Arabidopsis thaliana: one gene and its partners. The protein of the gene in region 1 interacts with the protein of each later gene in a pairwise test. Each region holds a gene or a part of one and is shown on either strand. Other genes may lie near its edges.

The links. Proteins that work in one complex are often made in the same cells at the same time.
Region 2: the proteins of RBL2 (region 1) and AT5G40640 interact in a protein complementation assay, tested with the Arabidopsis thaliana proteins (one large-scale study listed by BioGRID).
Region 3: the proteins of RBL2 (region 1) and AT3G24460 interact in a protein complementation assay, tested with the Arabidopsis thaliana proteins (one large-scale study listed by BioGRID).

Annotation. Positions count from the first base shown.
Region 1 is NC_003070.9:23,407,354-23,414,112, reverse strand, and holds RBL2 (RHOMBOID-like 2), read left to right. Parts: upstream 1-2,973; 5' UTR 2,974-3,387; coding exon 3,388-3,662; intron 3,663-4,201; coding exon 4,202-4,365; intron 4,366-4,478; coding exon 4,479-4,642; intron 4,643-4,708; coding exon 4,709-5,059; 3' UTR 5,060-5,309; downstream 5,310-6,759. Other genes in the region: AT1G63130 (Tetratricopeptide repeat (TPR)-like superfamily protein), read right to left, coding at 1-1,259; AT1G63110 (GPI transamidase subunit PIG-U), read right to left, coding at 6,356-6,448, 6,641-6,697. UniProt on the Arabidopsis thaliana protein: Rhomboid-type serine protease that catalyzes intramembrane proteolysis. Can cleave the Drosophila proteins Spitz and Keren. May function in pollen elongation.
Region 2 is NC_003076.8:16,274,518-16,282,366, forward strand, and holds AT5G40640 (uncharacterized protein), read left to right. Parts: upstream 1-2,524; 5' UTR 2,525-2,827; coding exon 2,828-2,921; intron 2,922-3,389; coding exon 3,390-3,498; intron 3,499-3,591; coding exon 3,592-3,784; intron 3,785-3,869; coding exon 3,870-4,003; intron 4,004-4,082; coding exon 4,083-4,371; intron 4,372-4,451; coding exon 4,452-4,558; intron 4,559-4,644; coding exon 4,645-4,780; intron 4,781-4,854; coding exon 4,855-5,050; intron 5,051-5,153; coding exon 5,154-5,403; intron 5,404-5,488; coding exon 5,489-5,741; 3' UTR 5,742-5,892; downstream 5,893-7,849. Other genes in the region: AT5G40645 (RPM1-interacting protein 4 (RIN4) family protein), read right to left, coding at 5,893-5,916, 6,046-6,234, 6,358-6,366; SDH2-2 (succinate dehydrogenase 2-2), read left to right, coding at 6,945-7,615.
Region 3 is NC_003074.8:8,885,762-8,895,610, reverse strand, and holds AT3G24460 (Serinc-domain containing serine and sphingolipid biosynthesis protein), read left to right. Parts: upstream 1-2,407; 5' UTR 2,408-2,755; intron 2,756-4,683; exon of another isoform or gene 4,684-5,554; intron 5,555-5,684; 5' UTR 5,685-5,893; coding exon 5,894-6,104; intron 6,105-6,177; coding exon 6,178-6,251; intron 6,252-6,346; coding exon 6,347-6,506; intron 6,507-6,593; coding exon 6,594-6,618; intron 6,619-6,706; coding exon 6,707-6,796; intron 6,797-6,885; coding exon 6,886-7,057; intron 7,058-7,166; coding exon 7,167-7,240; intron 7,241-7,246; exon of another isoform or gene 7,247-7,779; coding exon of another isoform or gene 7,780-8,096; intron 8,097-8,168; coding exon of another isoform or gene 8,169-8,250; exon of another isoform or gene 8,251-8,605; intron 8,606-8,736; coding exon 8,737-8,806; intron 8,807-8,888; coding exon 8,889-9,106; intron 9,107-9,221; coding exon 9,222-9,295; intron 9,296-9,389; coding exon 9,390-9,451; 3' UTR 9,452-9,793; downstream 9,794-9,849. Other genes in the region: AT3G24465 (Plant thionin family protein), read left to right, coding at 471-734; AT3G24463 (nuclear transport factor 2 family protein), read left to right, coding at 7,780-8,096, 8,169-8,250.

The DNA of each region.
Region 1 (6,759 bases):
CGGAAGAGTTCCATACCTTCGTCTACTCTCTTAGCCTTACAAAATCCCTTTATAAGAGTATTGTAAGTCACTACGTTTGGGAAACAGTCCTTGCTAATCATCAACTCAAACATGTGCTTGGCCTCGTCTAAACGATCGTGCATACAAAACCCATTGATCAGTGAACTATAAGTGAAAATATCAGGATCTATAGACCTTTTGATCATCTCGTCGTACAATTTCTCAGCCTCTACAAGCTTCCCCTCCTTCACAAATGCATCAATCAATGCGCTGAAAGTGACTACATTTGGATTGATTTTCCTCTCAATCATATCACTGAGTAGTCGAGAAGCATCACTCCATCTTCCGTAATTACAAAGGCATCTTATGAGGGAGTTGTAGGTAACAACATTTGGTCTAATTCCTTTGTTATCCATTTCAGTGAACAGATTGAGTGCATCATTCACGTTTTTGTAGTTGCAAAGAGCATCAATGATAGTGTTGTAGATCACAACACCAGGCTCTATTTTCCCTTGTTCCATCTTCTTTAACAAACTCAAAGCCAAATCAATATCACCTCTCTTACATAATCCATTTACTACAATACCATAAGTAACCAGATCTGGTTGACAACCTTTCACAACCATCCGGTCAACTAAAGCCACTGCTTCTGAAGCTCTGTTGTGGCGAAAAAGTCCATGAATTAGAGTGTTGAATGTGAATGAATCGGGCTGATATCCCATTTCCACCATCTGACCAACAAGAGATACGGCATCTGAAATCCTATTCCCGTGACAGAAACCATTGAGCAGAGAGTTAAGCGTGACAATATCGGGCTCATAGCCGAGTTTCATCATCTTGGCAAGAACAGCTAAAGCAAGAGAGAGCTGAGAGCGTCGGCAGAAACAGTTGATGAGAATACTGTATGTGTAAAGATTATGTGAAATTCCCAAATTTTGCATCTGCTCGCCGAGAGAGATGACAAGATCGAACTTGTTCATCTTAGCAATGGCACTCAACAGTTTACTGAACTCAACAATCGAAGGGAAAGGACGAGACTTGACCATGTCACCGAACAGATTAACCGCATCATCTAGCTTCAAATCATTTAGCCTATTTATCGATATTTTTCTGTAATCATATCTAACACCAGAGAAATCTCGTACCCAGAAACTGCAATGGCTAAAGGAAGGAGGAGCAGTTCCACATTTACCTTTTCCGAGAAGACTCCGATGAACAAATCTGTTTCCCGTCGATGAAATCGCAAACAATCTCCTCATCTTCAGCTGATTGGGGTTTCTTCCAAAATCACTGATTCAGAATCGTAAACTCTCTGTAAACTTGTATAAACCCTAAATGATGAACCTTTTGCAGACAGAGAGAGTAAAGGTTTGAACTTTTGGTTCTACCAAACCAAACAGAGAGAGAGACTCACATAGGCTGAGAGAGTGAGAGTGATATTCATCCAGTTTCGCACCACCGTTGGATCATTTGACCGGTCAAGATTTCATCTTATCATTTTTATCACCGGTTTGGTTTATAATCACATAATGTATTTTTTTTTGGTTTAGTTCTAAATTGAAAGGCCAGCATTAGCAAATAAATATGAAAAAAACAAAGAAGATTATCAAGTTTTGCTATTTTGGTTCCATATTTGTCTAACTATATTTCCTTCATTTTTTTTTTTATTGCTGAGATGTCCCTTTCTAATTAAGGTGAAACCGCGTGGACCTTACCAATTTATATCTTGGATTGTAAAGATCTATATCTGTTTGGTTCCACTTGTATATGATACAATGATACAATACAAGTTTGGTCATTATCATTTTTTCTAATCATATGTCAACAAAACCAAAGTATGCATTCATTTTGCAAAATATACACATCTATTTGTATCACCTCCCAAACATTTCTCCCATTATACGGACTTGGACAAGTATTCATACCTCTGCAAAAGTCTTATTGATAAATGAATGTGAAAGTACATACAATTGGTTTAGAACATTAAACACGAGTTTGGTTTGGACACATGGCTTTCATATACTCCTTAGTGATAAATTATGGTTAATTATAACCATCTTTGAAGTTTATTCTAATATTTTATTTATTAATTTCATTGATATGGTTTCAAACGTCAAGGAATATTAAACCTTTTACGAAAAAATTTCGGGTGGATCATATAATATCTTCCCTTCAATCCTCAAAGTTCTCGAACTCTACCAATACCTACAAGGCTACAAAAATTTATACACCATTGAAATATGCTGCAACGAAGTCCATTTAAGGCCTGATGATAAATTCCTTGGAGATCGACAATAATATCCAAGCGATTGTTAGTGAGATTATAGAGTTAGTCTTTGTTGGATTCAATAGTTTGTTCCACAATGTAAAAGTCGACTATTCTAAAGAAGCCCTTGGCAACTTATTAAATCTTATAAATAGTTAAATATCGAGACCGTAGAACCTTTTGCTATATATAGTTTTTCGTCAGAAAAAAAAAGTCTTCATGCTAGAGAAAAAAAAGTTTAACTTATAAATACCATGCTATAATTAAAACAAAATAACACGTACTACAAATAGTACTAGCTTATATTTTCTCTCTTTTTTAATAATTAATTTTCTAAAAAAATACATATCTTAAGAAAATATTATTAAAATTAATTATGAATATATTATTTTTTGTGTTTTATATTTTTTTATAATTAAAAATCAATAATATTTAATTATTTATCTTGAAATTTGATATTCATCAATAATATCTAATTAATATTGCAAAAAAATCTAGAAATCCATCTTTTAAAAACACTTTTTTGTATAAAAAAAAATAAAAAAATAAAACCCTTTTTGTAAAAAATTCAATTAAGAAAAAATAAAAGGAGTATATGTTTTATCTTCTCTTTTTACTTTAACAAAATACCTTGTTTTTTTGTTGTTTTCAAGTTATATATTTTGTAATCTTGTCGCAGGTCTGAGTTGTTTTTTGCACTCAGAAAAGAAACTTGTACTAAAACCTAGGAGAGGAGGAGCTGGCACCACCGCCTAACTCGCCATTGACACAACACCAAAAACTCTTCTTTACTTTTTGTTATTCTACACACATCGATAAAGATTAAGAACATAATTAATAGAATTCCATAAATAATTAGATGCACTAACTTTTCAACATCAATTCAACGGTTTAAATTCGTGAAAAAGCGTTTTTATTTTATTTTAATGGTTACAACTTTGTAGTTTTTACCCTAAATCTCTCTCTGATTACTGATACTCTGTCTCAATCTCTTCTTTCTTCTAATCCTTTATTTCTTGTAAGCTACTTCTCCTGAATTTCGTATTTGATCCGTTTAATCCAAGTTTCGATTTTATATAACAACCACATAGACAGAGAGAGAGAGAGAGAGAAACAGAGTAATGGCGAACAGAGATGTGGAGAGAGTAGGGAAGAAAAACAGAGGAGCTAATAACAATTATTTCTACGAGGAGTCTTCTGGTGAAACTCATTGGACTTCATGGCTGATTCCGGCGATTGTAGTGGCAAATCTCGCTGTCTTTATCGCTGTTATGTTCGTTAATGATTGTCCTAAGAAAATCACCGGACCTAACAAAGAGTGTGTTGCTAGATTCCTCGGAAGATTCTCGTTTCAACCACTTAAAGAGAATCCTCTCTTTGGTCCTTCTTCTTCAACGTAAGTATTACTTTAAAGTTGGAGATTCATGTTTCATCTTCTGGGTATCTCCAAAGTCTCAAACTTTTTGGGAGTCCAATTCGCAATTGAATTTGATCACTATTGTCTGTTCTTATGGAAATTGAGCTCAAAGTTTTCATTTTTCTGCAGTAATTAAGATTACCCAATTAGTGCCTTACTGATAACGTCAATGAATTTGTAGTTGAAGCTCGAGATTCTAGAATTTGTTAATCTAAGTTACTGGCAAACAAGTTTGATCTTTTGGGTACCTAAAACGTCTCAATTTTTTTTGTTTTCAACAAACTGAAAAAGTCTCAATTTTTGTGTTTTCAACTTGGCAATTGAATTTGATCTTTATTGTCTGTTAGTGGCTTGGAACATGAGCTCAAACTTGTAGGGTTTCTCAAAGTTTTTATTTTTCTCCTGGAATTATGTATTTAGCTTGGTTTGGAATTATGATTTGTAAATTTCATTGGCAATTATTGTAGTGATGGTGTTTGTGATTGATTTGGTTTTACTCGGATATGTACTTGTATCAGATTGGAGAAAATGGGAGCATTGGAATGGAGGAAAGTAGTACATGAACATCAAGGATGGAGACTTCTCTCTTGTATGTGGCTTCACGCTGGTATCATTCATCTTCTTACAAACATGTTGAGTTTGATCTTCATTGGTATCCGCCTTGAGCAGCAATTTGGCTTCAGTAAGTCTTACCTTTACGTGTACAAGAATTATTGTTCAGTCAAGTTTTAGACTCTCTTTGTTTAATCGCCAAGTGAAACATTTGATCTTTATCGCGGGAATGTTACTGTGCAGTAAGAGTCGGGTTGATATACTTAATATCGGGTCTCGGTGGAAGCATACTTTCGTCGCTTTTCCTTCAAGAAAGTATCTCTGTTGGTGCTTCGGGTGCTCTCTTTGGACTTCTTGGAGCAATGTTATCTGAACTTCTTACCAATTGGACTATCTATGCCAACAAGGTACTTATGCCCTTTTCGCTATACGCGCCTTAACCGGAACTTAGGATTAACGGCTTCTTTTGGCAGGCGGCTGCTCTGATCACACTTCTGTTCATCATCGCAATCAACTTAGCATTAGGCATGCTTCCTCGGGTTGACAACTTTGCACACATTGGAGGGTTTTTAACCGGATTCTGCCTCGGGTTTGTCCTCCTTGTCCGACCTCAGTACGGTTGGGAAGCTTCCCGCACCAACACTTCGCGAACCAAACGAAAGTATAGCATGTACCAGTACGTGCTGTTTGTAGTTTCAGTGGTGCTACTTGTGGTTGGGCTAACGGTTGCATTAGTGATGCTTTTCAAAGGAGAGAATGGGAACAAACATTGCAAATGGTGTCATTACCTTAGCTGTTTCCCAACTTCTAAATGGACCTGCTAATCATCATCATCATCATCATAATCATATAGTAAAAGCTTTTATATGTGTTCTTGTTAACATTTAATCTCTTTGATCTCTCTAGCCTTTGATTATTTATATATGTGTACATTACCAAATTCGTCTTGTGTAAAAGGGGATAGAAATAAAAGAGTGTATTATTTTTACATTTGAACACCATATTTCTCAAACTGTCTTTAAGTACATAAATAGTAAACAATTTTATTAATGTAAAACATAAGCTGTAATTGGAAATAAATTCCTTTAATTTGGTTATAGTACACACTTTATAGTATCCATCTTAGGTCTTGTAGATTATTATTCTTCCTTTGCTTCAAATTCTTCTTTCTCTAGATCTCTTTCTTCTTGAGTTTAACATGATAGCCATTTGGAAATTGCAATCCAGGAGTTCGAAGTATATTTCCTCCACTAGTTTCTTCCCATCTGATGAAATCCAAGAAACAAAATTACAAAATCAAGAACCATTAGTTGTCTTAACTTAACAGATGAAAAAGGAGTAGTTTCAAACTGTATTTTGTGACTGAGCTATGAAGGAAAACTGCAGTTTGAAGTTTGAACTTTGCTGAAGTCAGCTCCGATACACAACCGCATTCCATCACCAAACGCCATGAAATTCCATCACCACACGCCATCAATACAATATATAATACCAAGATATGCAATCATGCATACATCAGCTTCATGCAATATATGCATAATTTTTAGGAGATTTCAGATGTCACAAGATCGAATTGAACATATATTTTCAACAGTGTGAAATACAGTTATACGGTTAGGGTCTGATTTTTGTTTTTGGTACCACGTGGGTTTTACAAGTTTTTATGATATTACAAATAAATTAATAATGCATCACACTTCATTTATTGTGAATGGGTGACTTTTAAGAAAACAATGACCAAACACCACCCAATAACCTTCCTGCACTGTGTCATTTAGGCCTTAATGGTGCAGTGGATAAGGATAAAGTACGGGACATAGACAATGCCTTTAATCATCCACCATTCACAAATGATAATACCTTGTATACATGCGATGTAACTTCAAATATAGGGATGATTGTGTGCTTTGCGGATCAAAACAAGAACTTTAAAACCTCTCGGTAAAAAGTACAAATTAATGGTTACTCTAAACGGAAAGGCACAGGAGATTTGTTATTTATATGATGTTCTCAAACAAAGAAAAGCTACTCACACAAATCACATGTTGCCAACTTTAAGCTAAAGACCCAACTCTTTTCTTTACGTGTAACAGAAAAGTGGCGCAATGACCTTCAATGGCTTAGCTCTTGACTTCTCGATGGTTTGAGTTTGATCTCTTCAGCGCCCTGTCATGGTTTAGCATTGCGCTTACGCTCTCAACCACGAAAACGATCTGTAAAGAAAAGCAGAAACCCGTATGCGGGTTTTAGTCAAGATAACCCAAAACTACAACATTCTTTGATCAATAACTGATGATCTCATCATCCTCTGCTTGATATCATCAAATTTTGTACTATATGAGTATCAACTCCCAACTACTGAATAGAATAATGAATTTTGAAATGGATCCAGGCCTATATTTTACCTGAAAGCACGCGTAGCCGATAGCGTTTCCAAAGTAGAAATTTGCATTTCCGGTTCCCTGTCATGAAAAAATCAAAGGTAGTTGTGATCATTAGAACATTTTGTTGCAACTGCTGTGAA
Region 2 (7,849 bases), on another chromosome or scaffold:
AGTCTATTATAATTTAATTGTAACTGCGGAAAAATTAAAAGTAAAAGAGATATAAATAAAGTTATCAAAACTTATCAAGTAGTTAGTGGGTTCTTTATTTGTCAACACACGAAAAATCAAATTTGCTTGGAATGGTTGATATTAGATTAAAATCTCTAAAAATACTCAAAAGTAATTCCAAATATGAAACATAGAACACTAACGTCCGATGTCAACCACTTAACACTAAAACAAAGTTGATTAAATAAGCTGAGGTCTCACGTTAAGTAATTTAACAATGGCATAGGAAATAAAGAGTACACAACATAAGCTATTTCTCATTGCACAAATAACTTTGAATGTATTCTATTAAATATCGTTTGGAACACAAGGTTGATTCTCGGACAATTTCCAAAAAATTTGCTCATGTGATCTTGCTCTTTTCTCGCTATACCAGTTCATGGTAATGTTTCTATTAGATAGTGACTAGTCGGCGTAGTAGTTTGAAGTTTCAACAAATTATAAGTTTAGACATAGGCCCAATCTTCTCTCGCTACCAGTTCATGGTAATGTTTCAACAAATTATATATAAGTTTGATTTGAAGTTTGTTGTCTTCAAGTTTTTGTTCCGTACTGATTGGGCCAATGTCTAAAGTACACTAGGCCGTCCAAAAGAGTCTGAAATTTTATTATAACTTAGACACATTTCATATGGGCTTCGTATCTTGGAGAATCATGAGTTGATCGTGATGCCGTCGAAATTTGAAGACTTTGGCCGGCTTTCTCCATCAATTTGGTCGGACTTTTATATTTGAGAGTTAAGTTTACTTTGTCTTTATAATTTTTTTTTTCGTAAACTATATCATTTCTGCTTGTCTATGTAATTTATGACAAGTTGATTTCAACAAGAAACAAAAGTTAAAAGTTGAAAACTATGATATTATATATGTAAATTTTTTCAGTTCTTTTGTTTTTATTTAATTAATTTTCATTTCTCAATTTCAAATTCTTCATATGTATTTTTCCTTTTTAATGACTTTAATAATATATTTATTCCCATTTTAAAAGCGTGTCTCATATGTTGTTTATTACATTTAAAATAAACAATTGTTAATAATCGTTTTTCTTATTATATATATTTTAATTAGATTATAAGACAAATAATCTTATCCTATAACCTTCAAAAAATCAAATTATATTATATTATTCAAAAAAAAAAAAATCTTATACAAAAACCTTCAAGTCAATCGAGTTTTATATGTTGGACTTATAAGACAAATAATTTTATAACAACATTCATGATACCATGTTAAGTTTTATATGCTTCTACTTAAAACTAATTGATTATAAGTAAAATTAACAAATCATTTATACACTTGTATTATTATAGGTCCATCACACTCCTCATGTATGATTTCAAACAAAGTGATTTTTGATGAGCTGGAGGGGTTAAACAATTTTAATTAAAAAATATATAAAAAATACTAAACTTTGTTTGACCAGTCGTACCAAGTTGAACCATGGTCTACCAGTTAATCCAATTTCAAATTATGTTTTTGTTTCAAGAAAAAATAATACTCCATCTGTTCTTTTTTGTTTGATTGTTTATAAAAAAAAATTGTTTCTAAAAGATTGATTTTTTAAGTTTTCCATGTAATATTTATTGGTTAGTATTGGTGAATTGTAATTTTCAAGAAAAATAGTTAATTATCATTGGTTTAGAGGTATAGAAAACTGTAAAACACTAAAAATAATATATTTATAATCAATATTTAATATATTTTTTTAATATGTATGTTTTTTCTAAACAATCAAACAAAAAAGAACAAATGGAGTAATTCAGAAACCATAGAAGAGGGAGCACCTGTCTTCGCTTTTGATTGCTTTTATATTTCTTTTTCCCTTCTTTACTTCCGATTAGGTTAGAATGCATAGAGCCATAGATTATTAGTCTTATCACTTATATTATTTATTTTTGTATATAATATTTACTTTTATAAATAATTATAAATCTTATACTATTAAATTTTATAAACAGATTTATTGTAATATTTTCCAATGATACCATTTAATATATAGTGATGTTTCATATAAAGTTCATTTTAAAAATGAAAATTATGTGTTTAGCAAAGGTGGCAATAGCTTTTAGAAAATAAAGTAGAAAATAATGGGTTTGCCAACTGCCACATAAAAAAAAAACCTCTCTTTTAATATATACTTAAATGTAATAAACAATAAGATAATGATAATGTGATTCTTTAACTGTCGCTTAGTGTCGACGTTAGAAAAAAAGAAACACTAAAAATGTTCGGTTCATGTCGTTTTCTCCAATTCCTTTATCTCGTGCTTCTCTTCTCAATACGAGGAGGAGGATGTGTTGGCCCATGCGTTAAACAGCAGCACAAAAACCGATCACCAAGAAACACACCCGATTTATTTAGCAGCACACGAAATTGAAATAATATGTAAATTAAAAAATATACTCTTAATTTATTCAGTTTTAAATGTATTTTTTGGTTTAGGGTTTATAGACGGTTTCTTAACCGTCAAATCTAATGTGTGTGTGACATATTCTTCTCTCTCTCTCTCTCGAATCTTTCGTGTTGTTTGCTGTTCAAAATTGAAATTTTAAATATTAAAAAAAAAGAAGAAAACTTGTTCTGCTTCTTGTCGTGTCCGTCACAGTTTGAATTTCTCTCTCTCTTTCTCTCTTCCTCATAAAAATCTCTGCTTTACCTTTTCTTTTCAAAGGGTTTCATTTTGATTCTAGGGTTGTTCTAAATGCGACATTTTGACTGATGGGTCTTTGTTGAATTTGAAGAGAGCAAAAGAGAAAGAGATTGTTCTAATGGAGCCTCCAACGGGAATCTTGGCTTCTCTGTGGCAATTTATACTCTTCATTCCTTATTTCACTGGTTTACTGCTTCTCGGTGTCATTAAAGGTAACAAATTTCAGACTTGAGTTCGATGATGTTGACATGAGATTGGCTTACTTGATTTGTGTAGGCCTCCATTAGGGTTGTTTCATTTATTCATCAATTTGCTTCAACAGTTACTGAAATTAGCATTTCTAACCAATTTAGCGATCTTCAATGCCATAAAGTTCCCTTTTTTTAATTGAAGTAAACACCTAATCCGTGAACGTTGTTCTGTTTTAGAGATCTTGCTCACTAGTTTAGTGGCTTAGGATTTATCTAAGAGTGATTAATTGGTACATAACATTCATCAAGTGCTTCCGAAGTTAGTGAATTTGGTATGAAATTAGTTTCTTCAGTACTATAAAGTTCTCTTTTTTTAATTGAAGCAAGCCCCAAAGGCCAAATCCGTGAGTTCTTTTACTAGTCTTGTTGACAAGTTTTGTGGGAATGAATTGTTGTGAACGTTTCTTTACTTCTTTTTTGTTTGCTTAGGTATCGTTTTATGCCCGCTTATATGCCTTACTGTGGCTATTGGAAACTCTGCAATCATCTTAGGCCTTTTACCAGTACACGCGATTTGGACTCTATATTCGATAGCGAGGTACTTACTTCTTTCTGAAACAATCTCTGCCCTCTATAATAATACCATTGTTATCTCTTTCGATGTTGTTGAAGTGTTTTTGTTTGAAATCAGTGCTAAACAGTTAGGACCAATCCTGAAGATCTTTCTGTGTTTATGCGTTCCTCTTGGTGTCATTCTCTGGCTTGTGGTTAGTATCTTAGGAAGTGTTCTTGGAGGAGCTATTTATGGATTTCTTTCTCCAATATTTGCTACTTTCGATGCTGTTGGTGAAGGGAAGTCTAATCCGTTTTTCCATTGCTTTTATGTAAGTCTCTTTTTCTCCATGTCTCGTTCTTTATGTTATTGAAGATTAGACCTCAACACCTACATTGTCTGCTTTCACAATTTAGGATGGAACTTGGAGCACTGTTCAAGGCAGTTTCACCGTTGTTTGTGATTTTAAAGATGTTTGCTTTCACTCCTACTTTTCTTTTATGGATGATCTTCGAACATCTACTGCGAACCGTCACTATTATGAAATAAGGTCTTCAGAAAATTTCAGTAAATTGTGTGTATTGATTACTTAACAGTGCTTTCTTACAGTTTTCACTTATATTTCTCAGGTTACTTCAAATTCCAGGTGCTGTGATTGTTGCGGTTCTCGGAATTCTTGTTGATTTCCCAGTGATTTCACTCTTAGCATTGTGTAAAAGCCCGTACATGTTGTTCAAAGGGTGGCACCGTTTGTTTCATGATCTCATTGGACGTGAAGGTCCTTTCTTGGAAACAATGTGTGTCCCAATCGCTGGCCTTGTGATCTTACTCTGGCCTTTAGCTGTTGTTGGAGCAGTTTTAGGATCCGTGGTCTCTAGTGTCTTCCTTGGTGCTTATGGCGGTGTAGTCTCATATCAGGTTATTAAACAATGACTTTTTTTTTTGAGGAAAATGTGAATGCTGATGATACTGAATTGGTTTCTCTTGTCATAACACAGGAGTCATCGTTCTTCTTCGGTCTCTGCTATGTTGTTGCTTCTGTTTCTATTTACGATGAGTATAGCAACGATGTTCTTGATATGCCTGAAGGTTCTTGCTTTCCCAGGTTTGTCTCCATTGGCTTATCTAGCAATCTTTACCTCTCTCTCTTTCTTTTCATTCTAAAACAGTGGTTTTATGGTTTTGTAACAGGCCAATATATCGAAGAAACGAAGAGGGCGCTAGTACGGCATTTTCTGGTGGTCTTTCAAGACCGAACTCCTTCAAGACAACTCCATCAAGAGGAGGATCAAACAAAGGCCCAATGATTGACCTGAAACCGCTTGATGTACTCACTAGTCACACTCTTCTTTTGGTTATCTTTGTATTTAAACCTGAAGCCTATTCTTTTGATCTTTGCAGCTTTTGGAGGCTCTATTTGTGGAATGTAGGCGGCACGGAGAGATTATGGTAACGAAAGGGATTATAAATTCAAAAGACATTGAAGAAGCTAAATCTAGCAAAGGCAGTCAAGTGATCAGCTTTGGCTTACCTGCTTATTCTCTTCTTCACGAGCTTTTACGCTCTATCAAATCTAACTCCACCGGTTTATTACTCGGTATGTTTCAACAGTTTTCTGTCAATTTTCATAACCGCATTATCTAGTAACTATTTGAACATCATCAAGAAACAAACAAAACCGTTTCTGTGTTTTTGTTTAGGTGACGGTGTAACGGAGATAACTACCAGAAACCGCCCAAAAGATGCGTTTTTTGATTGGTTTCTGAATCCGTTTTTGATCCTTAAAGACCAGATCGAAGCTGCAAACCTATCCGAGGAAGAAGAAGAGTATCTTGGTAAATTGGTATTACTCTTTGGAGATTCAGAGAGACTTAAAAGCTCCATTGTTGAATCTGAATCTCCTCCTCTAACTGAACTCAGAAAAGCCGAACTTGATGCCTTTGCTCGCAGGTAAAAAAGGCAAAAAAAAAAACACACACAATCTTGTTACGGCTTTCTACTTCGGATTCTAAGATGTGTTTTTGGTTTTGGTTAGGCTTCAAGGATTAACCAAATCAGTATCAAGATATCCAACATTCAGAAGACATTTTGTGGAACTAGTCAAGAAACTATCAAATGATCTAGACAATAAACATAACCGTTTTGAAGGCGGTTCGAGATCAGTTCCACGTCCCGGGAAAACGGTGTCTCGGATTTTCAGCCAAAAATCGTTCAAGAAAAAGACAAGTAGCAATGGGTCAGATCAAGATTCACCAAACAGAGGGTTAAGAGACATTGATATTGTGTAAGTAAATGTTATGCGACCAGAATTAGACCGAAACTTCGTCTGCTTTTAGCTCTGTAATGATAAATTTATACAGATTCCAAGTGAATATGAAACTGTTTCATTTATCTAACAAATGTTTTACATTCAGCTTTTGCTTGATGATGTGTTGTTTCTCAGAAACAGCAGAACCGTTTCTTCTGCAATAGAAATAGCAAGCTTTTAGTTTTTCTTTCACTTTAGACCTCATTTGATCTAAAACATAACAAACATAGGCTGATGTTTTCGTTAGTCATAAAATCTTGAGCAATTGGGATTAGAAATGTTACCGTAGGTTCATCTTGAGATTTGTTATTGTCACGGCGTTGTGAGGCGGCACGACCACTTGCGTTTGTCTTTTTGTCGTCTCGAGCTTTAGCGAATATAACCGTAAATCCTTCGGCTGATGCTGGATCGTTCACGTCCCATTCTCCAAATTTTGGTAATGGTCGATCTTGTTGTTGTCGTTGTTGATTATTCTGAAAGTTTCCAATCACAAAAATGTTTGATTTCTATTATAATCCAACGAAAACACACATGAAAATGCTATTTTTTGTATCAAATTTGTGAAACAAATGAGAAAGAAATGAGAAAGATCTTACCGATGCCATTCAAAGATTGTGTAAAAGATGCAAACAGAACATGAGATGATCTTTCTTCAAACAACAAGAAAACTTGTTTGTCTTCTCTTTTAGTTTTTGTTTTCTTAAAAGAATTTGATTACGTTTAAAGAATTAGAATTTGAGAACAGATTAGCGTTTTCTGAAAGTTTAAATATAGGTTAACGTTTTAATTATTGTTGAAACTTGAAAACAGAAAACACCAATCTTTTGTAGCGAAACGGAACGCTTTTTCTCGTACCGTCTTTTGTTTTCGAGTGAACTTCATCGTATCAAAACTCGCCACGTGATCTACACACTTCTCGAGGCGAACACGCGCATTTCAGAACTTATCCATTAATCTCTGTGATTAACCTATAAGCCGGTATTTATAAACGGTCACGATTTTCCAAGTTTTTTAATCAACGGTCGTTATTACGTAGACGAAGCTAAGCCTCACATCTACAAATACGTATACATACATTTTTACATAATAATTAATTAATAATTACAGGTTATTAACAAATTAATCATTTTTAATAGACTATTAAAAAAACAATTTCATTTCATTTGCTCTCTTCTCCGAGAAAATGGCGTTTGGTTTGATCGGAAGAGTTGTTGGAACCAAATCATCACGATTATCCACGGCGGCGCGATTGATTCCGGCGCGATGGACATCAACAGGATCAGAAGCACAATCGAAAGCTTCAACCGGCGGCGGAGGAGCGAGTCTGAAGACGTTTCAGATCTATCGATGGAATCCAGATAATCCTGGAAAGCCAGAGCTTCAAGATTACAAAATCGATCTCAAGGATTGTGGTCCAATGGTTCTAGATGCTTTGATTAAGATTAAGAACGAGATGGATCCATCGCTCACTTTCCGTCGCTCTTGCCGTGAAGGTATTTGTGGTTCGTGTGCTATGAACATTGATGGATGTAATGGTCTTGCTTGTTTAACGAAGATTGAATCTGGATCTAAAGAGACGACGATTACGCCGTTGCCGCATATGTTTGTGATTAAGGATTTGGTTGTGGATATGACGAATTTTTATAATCAGTATAAGAGTATTGAGCCGTGGTTGAAGAGGAAGAATCCAGCATCTGTTCCTGGGAAAGAGATTTTACAGAGTAAGAAAGATAGAGCTAAGCTTGATGGAATGTATGAATGTATTCTCTGTGCTTGTTGTAGCACGTCTTGCCCTAGCTATTGGTGGAACCCTGAGTCTTATCTTGGTCCAGCTGCTTTGCTTCATGCCAACAGGTAAACTTAATCTTGTTTTCTCATAATGGATTCACTAATCAAAGTAGTTTTTTGAAGATATTGTAGGGCTTGTTGGTAGTTTACATTAGTACGTTATATGGGGTCACTTAGATTGCTTAAGTTTCTGTAGTTGTAGTTTAGAGCTGAAGGAAGGTTCTGTTTTGAGATTTGCTTGAGAATTTTGTTGGTTTGAGCAGTAAGAGTTGGTAGACGGATTATGTATGGCTTGGGTTG
Region 3 (9,849 bases), on another chromosome or scaffold:
TAACTGAAGTCATATAATAGTAAAAAAAAACTGAAGTCATGAAAAATAAAATAAATTAAGTATGGTTTAAAAAAAAAATTATGAACCAAACCGTCAATCAGAAACATTAACAATATAATCGATTCTTTAGAAACTAATTATCGAATCTCAAGAAAGATATATTTGTAAATAACAAAAATTTGGAACGAGAATAATATATTTATAGGTTTCTTGACAACAAAAAATTGGAACGATAAATTGTTTGGACAACCAATAACATAAACAAAAAAACTAACCTATCAACCAAAAAAACAAACGGATATACTTCCAAAATAAATAATTTCAAGAGGTCAAAACTATTTTTTGCTATATAAAGTAAATAACTATAGACACCCAACTCAACAATATTCATCCTTTACAATTTTGTATTGCTATATAACCTAAGCAAAATTTAATAAGTTTGAACACTCAGAAACGCATCTTTTCAAATAATGGCAACTCAAACAACAAAAAAGATATACAGTGTTTTGATGATTGTAGTTTTATTTACGATGATTGTTTCAACATACGCGAGTACGATGGAAGTGTGTGTTAAACACTGTATCCCGAATCAATGCATGAAAGTTTCTCAAAAGGCAACTCTTCCATTATGTGAGACTGCTTGCACAAAACTTTGCAATGAAAACAAAGATGAGAAATATATCGTGCCTCGAAGCTACTGCGATGGATTATTCTGGTTTCTATGTGATAACTGAAATTTAATAAATATGCAAAATAATATATATGTATTTCTTATTTGTGGAAAATAATATATCATGTAAGTATGTACCTTTAATCAATATACTAATTTTCATGTAATTATTTTATTTATACTAATCAAATTAACGCGGCAAAATGGTGAGAAGTTATAATCACCAAACTAATATTTTTTTTGTAAATCCAATATTGTTATCAACATTTTTCACATCAATGTTTAGATCATTTTTTTGCTAAAACTAATCTAATGGTTCTCTACCAAACCATTAATTTATGGGTTTGCTATTTACAATTCCGTATAAATGATTAGGAATGATTGTGAAAGAGGAGAGCAATATCGAGTTATCTAAAACTTTTTTGTTGCTTGTTCATAACAATAAAAATTTTGTGCTACGAATGTCAAAATTTTAGGATTTGTGAGTATTAGAGAGGATGTCTATACTATTTGGTTTTTCTTGTTAATGTTTTTTGTTTTTGTTTTTAATAGAATATGATAGTTCATGTATTGTTCAGTGAGCAAAAAATTGTGTATATATTAAAGAAATATATTATTTAGTTAGTGTATGAATATAAATTTGTAAACTTATGGTGAATGATGCAAAAAATAAAACTTGATTAGTAGTTATGGTCATTGATTTAAAGTTATGTTGATCAGAGGTTTTTTACATACAAAGTGTTTTTCATTTGTCAATTCTTAAAGCTCCATCATATTTGAAAATGTTTGAGGAAAGATTTGAGGAAAAAATTAGCAAATGGGTTGTGATGATTATAACCAAAAAGCAAAAGATGGTTTCATTGTGTATACATACAACTGTTTGACCCAACGAAGGAAACAAACTCATATGCACCATTGGCTTTTGTAGTTATTGTTGTTTGTCTTACTTGATTAATGTAATGAGCGTTTGATTACAAAGCGTCACTAATTCTATTCTATTGTTTTGAACTTCTCATTTATGCAAGGCACAATTTGTTTTTGACGTTTGAGACGGTTACTCACTCACTCTTTTGTATTTTTGATTTTAGAGTAGGAAACATATACTTGATTTTTAGATTGTTATGCTTCTAAGGTTAAAATGTTTGAATCGACAGGTAATATTTTCATTTCTTTGAGATTTATAACTGCAATTTAAATATATGTTCTTTCTGATATCTGTAAATTTTGTAAAACAAATATCCACATCATAGCGTGGGTTTCGATCTTAGTGGATTATAAATCCTATAGTCATTTGTTTTTATAAACGGTGGGAGATTGGGAGTAATAATTAAGAAAAAATACATCTAGATATAAGACAATAAATGATCATAAGAACAAGCACGTTCACTTATAATATAATCATTAAGTACAAATTTAAAGTCAGCACTAAAATTAGTGATTTGTGGTAAATTAATTGCCTAGTAAAAAATTTAATACCATAACTATTAAAGTCTAATTGGCATGTTTATCCATAAAAACAGAGGTGTGTGTATTTGTAATAATATTTTCCTTAATTTCTTTCTTGTATATTGGCAATATAGTTGTCATGATTATATTTAGTATTTTTTTCTAGTCAAAATAAGAAATATTATATTATTTTAAAATTATGAATTACTTTGTTTGATAAATTATCAAATATTGTGGTTATAAAAAGAGAATTGTAGATTTTTTTATTTTTCTTATTAAAGAATAATACGAGGGGATGTAGCGGAAATAGGAAGCTAACAGCAGGAGAAATAAAATATAACTTACATAGAAAAAAAGATATTCACAAAAAACTAAGCTTTATATGTTATCTCTAGATTTTGTATATATAAGTATATAAACAACTGTTTTCTAAAAGCAAAAGCTCTGATCATAAAACCTGAAACCGATTCTTTTTTCGTTTTCACATTTCTCTCAGATTTTTTTTTGTCCTTCTTATCTTCTTCTTCTTCTTCTTTGGTTTCACATTTAGAAGAAGCTTGTGGAGGTAACAACACTCAACATTCTCTACATCTCTAGATCCAATCTCGCTTCATATATTCAAGACACGAAAAATCACAGGTTCTTTCTCTTTCTTTTCTCTTATTTGTTCTTGTCTTTTTTTTACGATCTCTGAGATTTTAAAACATGTTCGTGTTGCGTGTGCTAGTTATGAATTATGAATGTATCTCGGGAAAACGAAACTTAGCTCCGGGTGAAAAATTAGTGATGTAATATTTTTGCTTGTTCTTCCCGTCGCCGGGAAGACCACCGGAATATTGGTCGGAGCCACTTGTCAAAATTTTAGTTTTAACATTTTCCAAAGTTGTGGAACATCATGGGACCCTTAGTTCATCACTTTTTTCTTTTTCAGCCTCTTTTCTTTCTGCTAATTATCTCACTTTGCCAACAAGATTAGCCGTGAAAAATCAACATAATTATTGATTTCATAATTCATGTTTAGTTATAAATGTGTATGACGAAAAAACACATGAGGAGCTTAGCTATTGACAGATTTTGACCTTTTTGTCAAAGTTTAAAGAGTCGCTAGGAAGTTATCGTTTTGAGTTAGTCAAAATTTAGTGTTGTTTCCTTTAAAAACATAATTTACAATTGTTTTACGTTTTGTTTTTGACCCTTTTTTTGTCAAAGTTAAGTTGTTAAGAAACTAAGGTTTTGCGTTAGTCATTTAGTATTGTTTCTTTTAAAACATATGTAATTTAAACAATTTAGTATCGCTTTACGTTTGTTTTTCCTTCTTTTGCAATCTAACTCAATTTCTGCGGCTAAACTCAACTAATTTTCTCTTCACTGAGTCAAAAGAGAACACACACATACAAAAATTTCAACGTCTATTGGCTGTCCATTTGATTGTGTGGAGTCAATGAAAACACACTCAATTTAGAAAACAATTAAAAAAACAACAACAACCAATGTATGCATGACTCTTTGGTATTATGGTTTACTAGTCATCTAGTTGTGCAAGATTGGTTTAGGTGTCGGTTATTTCCGGTTTGTTATCCAATTTAGGTAAATAAAAACGATTTTAATCGTCAAAGTAAGTTTTTGGTATCAAGAGTTGTCTTTTTGGCACGAAAGATTTGAAGAGGTCCATATACATCATGGCCTACCTATAGTGTGTTAAATAATACTATATACTCATTACTTTAGTTTAGAGCGTTATGAGATATGATACGATAGACCAATTCTTATTTCTGAGAATCTAAACATTCTGATCTACTACCTAGGCTACAAATTCCAATACTTCACATCTTCACATGCTACCTCTATCTTAGGGTCAAATTTACCATTATTCTCTCTATTTTTCATATTTGTATATTTGTAATTCATAATGGCAAGGCCATGAACTCATTACTCCCAAATCATAATTATTAGTCTATATATACGAACGTGGAACGTGAGAATGATCACTAGATCTACACAGTTTTACTTCCTATATCCCTAAATTTTATGGAAAGGTTTTAAAGCGAGCTATTGATTTTCTCTTGTTAACTCTTTTCTGAAAGACAAAAAAAAACATTTTAAACCTTGTTTCATACATATTAAAATATAAATTCAGTGGATTATATTTAATACAAATAAAAATTATTTACCAACTAAATATTAAAAATCATAAAAATCTAGATTTAAAAAACTCACATTAATTTATGTAATTTAAACATTATGTATGCGGCTGAATTACTATTATACGCACGGATCTGATCCGTTTGCATCGCCGTTTGTGATGGTTGGTTACTCTAACCCACGAAATCCATAATTTTCTAACCTCTAAAGACTAAAACTATAGCCCTTACTTGCCATATGTGATATGTTCTAGCCTACGGGTTTATGGTCAAGTTTTTTTTTTTTTTTTTTTTTTTTTTTTTTTTTTTTTTCTGTTCTTGGGCCTTGGAAGTTCAAGATTAGACTATTATGGAAAGTAAATAAAGTATGAAACTCAATATAAGAAAATATTGAAGATACTTTAGAGATAAAAGAAATTTGAATATTTATAATGTATATGTTAATGTCAATATTGTAGATGACGTTTTCTTTATAAGATCTTTTGTGAATATAGTCTTTCCATTATCCCACTCTCTTCAATTCGTCTAAGTGGAGGTATGTGTCTCCACTCTATTAAGTGGACCAATAAAACCCTAGAAAAGCGCATCTAATGTTGCTGCTTAACATTACCCATTCATATTCGTAAGATTCGTCTGCCCAATTGTATCCGTACCAACACGTTTCTTTTTCAATTCCAAATTTTGTGACAAATTGCATAAACTCTTTTATCTTTATATGATCTGACTCTTTTTTTGTTCGTTTTCTCTTTTGATCTCTTAACCTTTTGTTTCCTTGTCAAATAAAGTTTTTTTGGGTGCTTCTTTGTTTATCCACGCCTCTCCATTATCATTAGGGTAATTATAGTTACAACACAAAAAGGCTCTTGCTTTTTTGGATTAGTATTTATGAGTAGTTCCTGCCAAATCTTGACTTTGAGAGTTTTAATTCTTAAGAATCTTGACTGTCTTGCTTTTTAAGTTTGGTATGTTTTTGTCTTTTAGTCTTTATCATTCATATGGTTAAGGTTTAAAGTTGCAAATCTTGGATTAAAATGAGCCATCTATTGTGGATTCTCGTTGACACTTATAAAGATTTGCTTTTTTAGTTTAGGTTAAAAAGAAGATAAAGGTTACTTGCACTATACGTATTCTCTGTTTATGTTCGGCTGAAACAGAAACGAAACGAGATGCTTTCTGTTGAGAAACGGATTCTGTGTGGTTTTTTGAGAATAGACTAAAGATGTTTCTCATGTAAAACATGAATTTTGTTCACTTCAAAATCTACCAATTGTAATCTCCACCGTTTCTGAATTGATTTGTATGTGCTCTTCTCTTTGTTTTGATAACGGAATCAGATTCTTATCCTTTGCTTCATTCTTTTGTCTTCTTGTTCTGTTCTTGCCGACTCTGTTTTTCATTTTTTGAATTCTCATTGTTTATTTCCACAGGTTTTGATCTGAAGGACGAGAAATCTCTGACAGGGACAGGGACAGGAATTTGTTGCTCCTGTTTTGCGTTTTTCGTTATTGACGATTCTTTCATCTAAGAAACTGATTTCTGATGCAAAATCCTCCCATGGAATGAGTGATCTGTTTCTTGAATTTCTTGATCTTCTAATGACATGAAGAGGAGAGAGTCTTGGTAACTTTAAGGAGTAATGGAGACCGGTACAAGCGTTAGCAACAACAACCAAAGCATCAGAAACGATAGCTATGAAGCAATCAAGAATGGATCATGGTTTAATCAGTTCCGCAACGGCTGCAATCCCTGGATGGCTAGATATGTATACGGTCTGATATTCCTCATTGCGAATCTACTAGCTTGGGCTGCTCGTGATTATGGTCGGGGTGCCTTAAGAAAAGTGACAAGTATGTGCCATTAGAATCATGTTTTAAGTATAACTAAGTAATTCGTTGTCTTATAAGTTTGATCATATTGCAGGATTCAAGAACTGTAAAGGTGGCGAAAACTGTTTGGGGACCGACGGTGTCTTAAGAGTTAGCTTGGGATGTTTTGTATCCTTTCTTGATTCAGTTGTTATTACAACTTTATATGATTTTTTGAGTCACTAAATCAGAAAATGTTTTGAGCTTAACCGTTATATCCTCAGTTGTTCTACTTTGTTATGTTTCTTTCAACACTTGGTACGTCGAAAACGCATTCATCAAGAGATAGATGGCATTCTGGATGGTGGTTTGTTAAGCTCATCATGTGGCCTGCCTTAACCATCATTCCCTTCTTGCTTCCTTCTTCCATTATTCACCTTTACGGTTAGTCTTCCATGAAAGTAGTCTTCCTCTAATAATCATGTGGCCTGCTTTAACCATACGTCTTTTTTCTTTGGTTTGATTTTGCAGGAGAGATTGCCCATTTTGGTGCAGGGTAAGACTTTGATTGACTAGTCCAACTTCACAATGTATATATGATGTGAAAAATCCCAAATCTTATATTGTTGTTTTTTTCTCTATAGGGTATTTCTCTTAATACAGCTAATTAGTGTGATCAGTTTCATTCAATGGCTCAACGAATGCTATCAGTCCCAAAAAGATGCAGAAAGATGGTTAGATTCTTTCAAATTCGAATCATAATATATTTTTAGTTTTTATTTCAGTTTATACTAAGTAAGCAATACTCTATTCTGTTTTGTAGCCGTGTCTATGTGATGTTACTATCAACTACTTCATACACAGTTTGCATAGTAGGAGTGATTTTGATGTACATTTGGTACGCGCCTGATTCTTCATGTCTTCTCAATATATTCTTTATAACATGGACTTTGTTCCTCATCCAACTCATGACAAGCATCGCTCTCCATCCTAAAGTAAGTCTTTATTGTTTCCATTACTATTCATGTTCATGACTTCATGTCATGTGTGTTTTGGATGTTTGAGGTTATTAAGGTTTGTTTGTGCTTTTGCCAACACCAACAGGTTAATGCTGGATACTTGACTCCAGCTCTTATGGGACTCTATGTTGTGTTTATATGCTGGTGTGCCATTCGAAGGTATGTTTATGTTTCCTTTCAATCTTGATCTCTGTTTTTTTTTTCAATGTCTTAAAAAGTTCAAAACCGATAATCCGGTCCGGTTAGATCTTAAAAATCTAAATTATTTGACCCGGTTAAATCAGATAAAAACAGAATTAACCTACAAACTGATAGTTTGGTTGACCGAGCCGGTTAGTTGTTCAAATTAAAAAATTTCACTTGGTTAAAAAGTTTGAAAATCAAATAAATAAAACATTGTTTCATTTATTTCTCTTTTTTCCTAAGTTTTGACTTGGGGATTTGATTATTTTTTTGAAGTTATTCTCTACAGAGATTTTTAAATTTATTTTGTGGTTTAGGTAACTTCTCTAAAGTTAGTATGGTTTAGGAATTAGGAGTTAGTAGTAGAACTAGTCAAGTAGGATTAGGAAATATAGTTGGTTTTGGGAGTCTTTAGCCACTATATATATGGTGGAGAAGATAGGCCAAGAACCATTCATTATCTTCCACTTCTGTTTTCAAAGCTTCCATCGTCAAATCTCTCTGTCCCTGGAGATATGTCAGAGAACAACACTACTGCAGAGATTGTTAGCAAGACCTTTGTGAAGCAATACTATTACATTCTTAACGAAGAACCTCACTATCTTCATATCTTCTACAATGAACCCTGTCTGTTTAACCGGCGTGATCCTGCAACCCATGTCAAGAAAGCTTTCTGGACAAAGAAAGAAGTGAAAGATGAGTTTCTGGCTATGAGATACGAAGATTACACGGCTGAGATCGAGACTTCACTTGGTATTCCATATCCTATGGGGAACGGTCGTGTTATTGTCTTTGTCAATGGTTACTTGACTAGGAAGAAAGATAACGTGAGGTACAAGTTTACACAAACGTTTCTTCTGGTTCAACAAGACAATGGCTTCTGTGTCGTTAACGACATTTTCAGGTTCAAGGAAACGCAGACACAGCTACCAACCTCAAACCCAATTCCTCCATCTCCTCAAAAACCAGCAGCAACGGAGAGTTAAGCTTCCGTTAGCGAGAAAGCTCCAAGCGAAGGGGAAGAGTGATGACTGGTCTATGGGTTTCTTTTTTAGGGTTCTAGAATTATGTGTTCCAAGTCGGTTTTGGGTCGGGTTTCTTGGTTTAAGGATCCTAGGAAATTAGGAACCGAATTGAAATATTTAGGTTCCTATTAACATAATCTAGTTATTTTCTAGTGTTTTTGTAGAGATTTATCTTTGGCTTATAGTAAATCTCATTGTTTCAGCTTTTGAAAAAGTATAAAAAAATTCCCAAAAAAGTTTGATATAATTTCTAAGGAAATTCTGATACATCTCATTATATTTATGAACATCCTAAATGTATTTGTTATTTTCTGCATCTCCTAAGATTTATATATATATGCTCATAAGAAGCTTGAACTTAGTAGTGAATGTGGAGCTATAATGTTTTCTTTTATGATGAAGACTTATAATTGTAAATTGATTCATCTCCAATAATATTTGGTGCAGTGAACCAGTGGGCGAAAGTTGTAATAGAAAAGCAGCAGCTTCAAACAGAACAGACTGGCTTACCATCATTGTAAACTCTCTTAACCTCTCAACATTCCTTTGCTTCTGTTTTATGCAAAAGTAATATGCTGATTTTGAATAACATTGTGCAGAGCTTTGTGGTTGCGCTACTTGCGATGGTTATCGCGACATTTTCGACAGGAATAGACTCCCAATGTTTCCAATTTAAGAAAGATGAGAACGATCAAGAAGAAGAAGCTGAAGATGATGTTCCATATGGCTATGGATTCTTTCATTTTGTGTTTGCCACAGGAGCAATGTACTTCGCTATGCTACTCATCGGTTGGAACACTCATCATCCCATGAAAAAGTAATATTTTTTTCAACAATCTTTTGTGAGCTAGCTTTTGTGAGACTTTTGTAGTCTCATTTTGAAGCTTGAGATTTTTAACTCATACAATTTTTCTTTGTTATTTTGCGTTCAGGTGGACGATTGACGTGGGATGGACAAGTACTTGGGTAAGGGTTGTGAACGAGTGGCTTGCGGTTTGCGTATACAGTAAGTCATGACAACATTTTTGAATGCTTCATCCTTAAAATTTCGAGACTGTGAAACAGTTTTGTAATGTTTTTTTGATGAAATGTGTTTATAGTTTGGATGTTGGTGGCTCCTCTCATACTAAAGAGCAGAAGACAAACGCCAACTGGGACTTGATAGGTAAAGAGAGATTGGGAAACGACAAAGAACTTTGTCGTTTTGGATCTCTTTTCACCTTGGGATAGAACTAAACCACGTTTTTCACCTACGACCAAGATGGAAGTTGCGGTAGCAAAGCAAACATGCTCTCATGGGTTTGGTGGGAAAATAGTATTTTTTTTTTTTATTTTTTTTTTCTAGGGAAAATAGTATTAGACTATTAGATTGGGGAATTCAAATCTTTTTAGATTGTTCTAGGAAGGTAGATACAAAAATAGTTATTATATGACCTTTAAGGGTTTTTATTATGACAAATATAGACCTTATCCATAGGATGGCTCTACATAAAATTACACATGCTAATGTCAAAATGTAAATCATAGCCAATACAAAGCATGCAAATTCAATTTATAAAA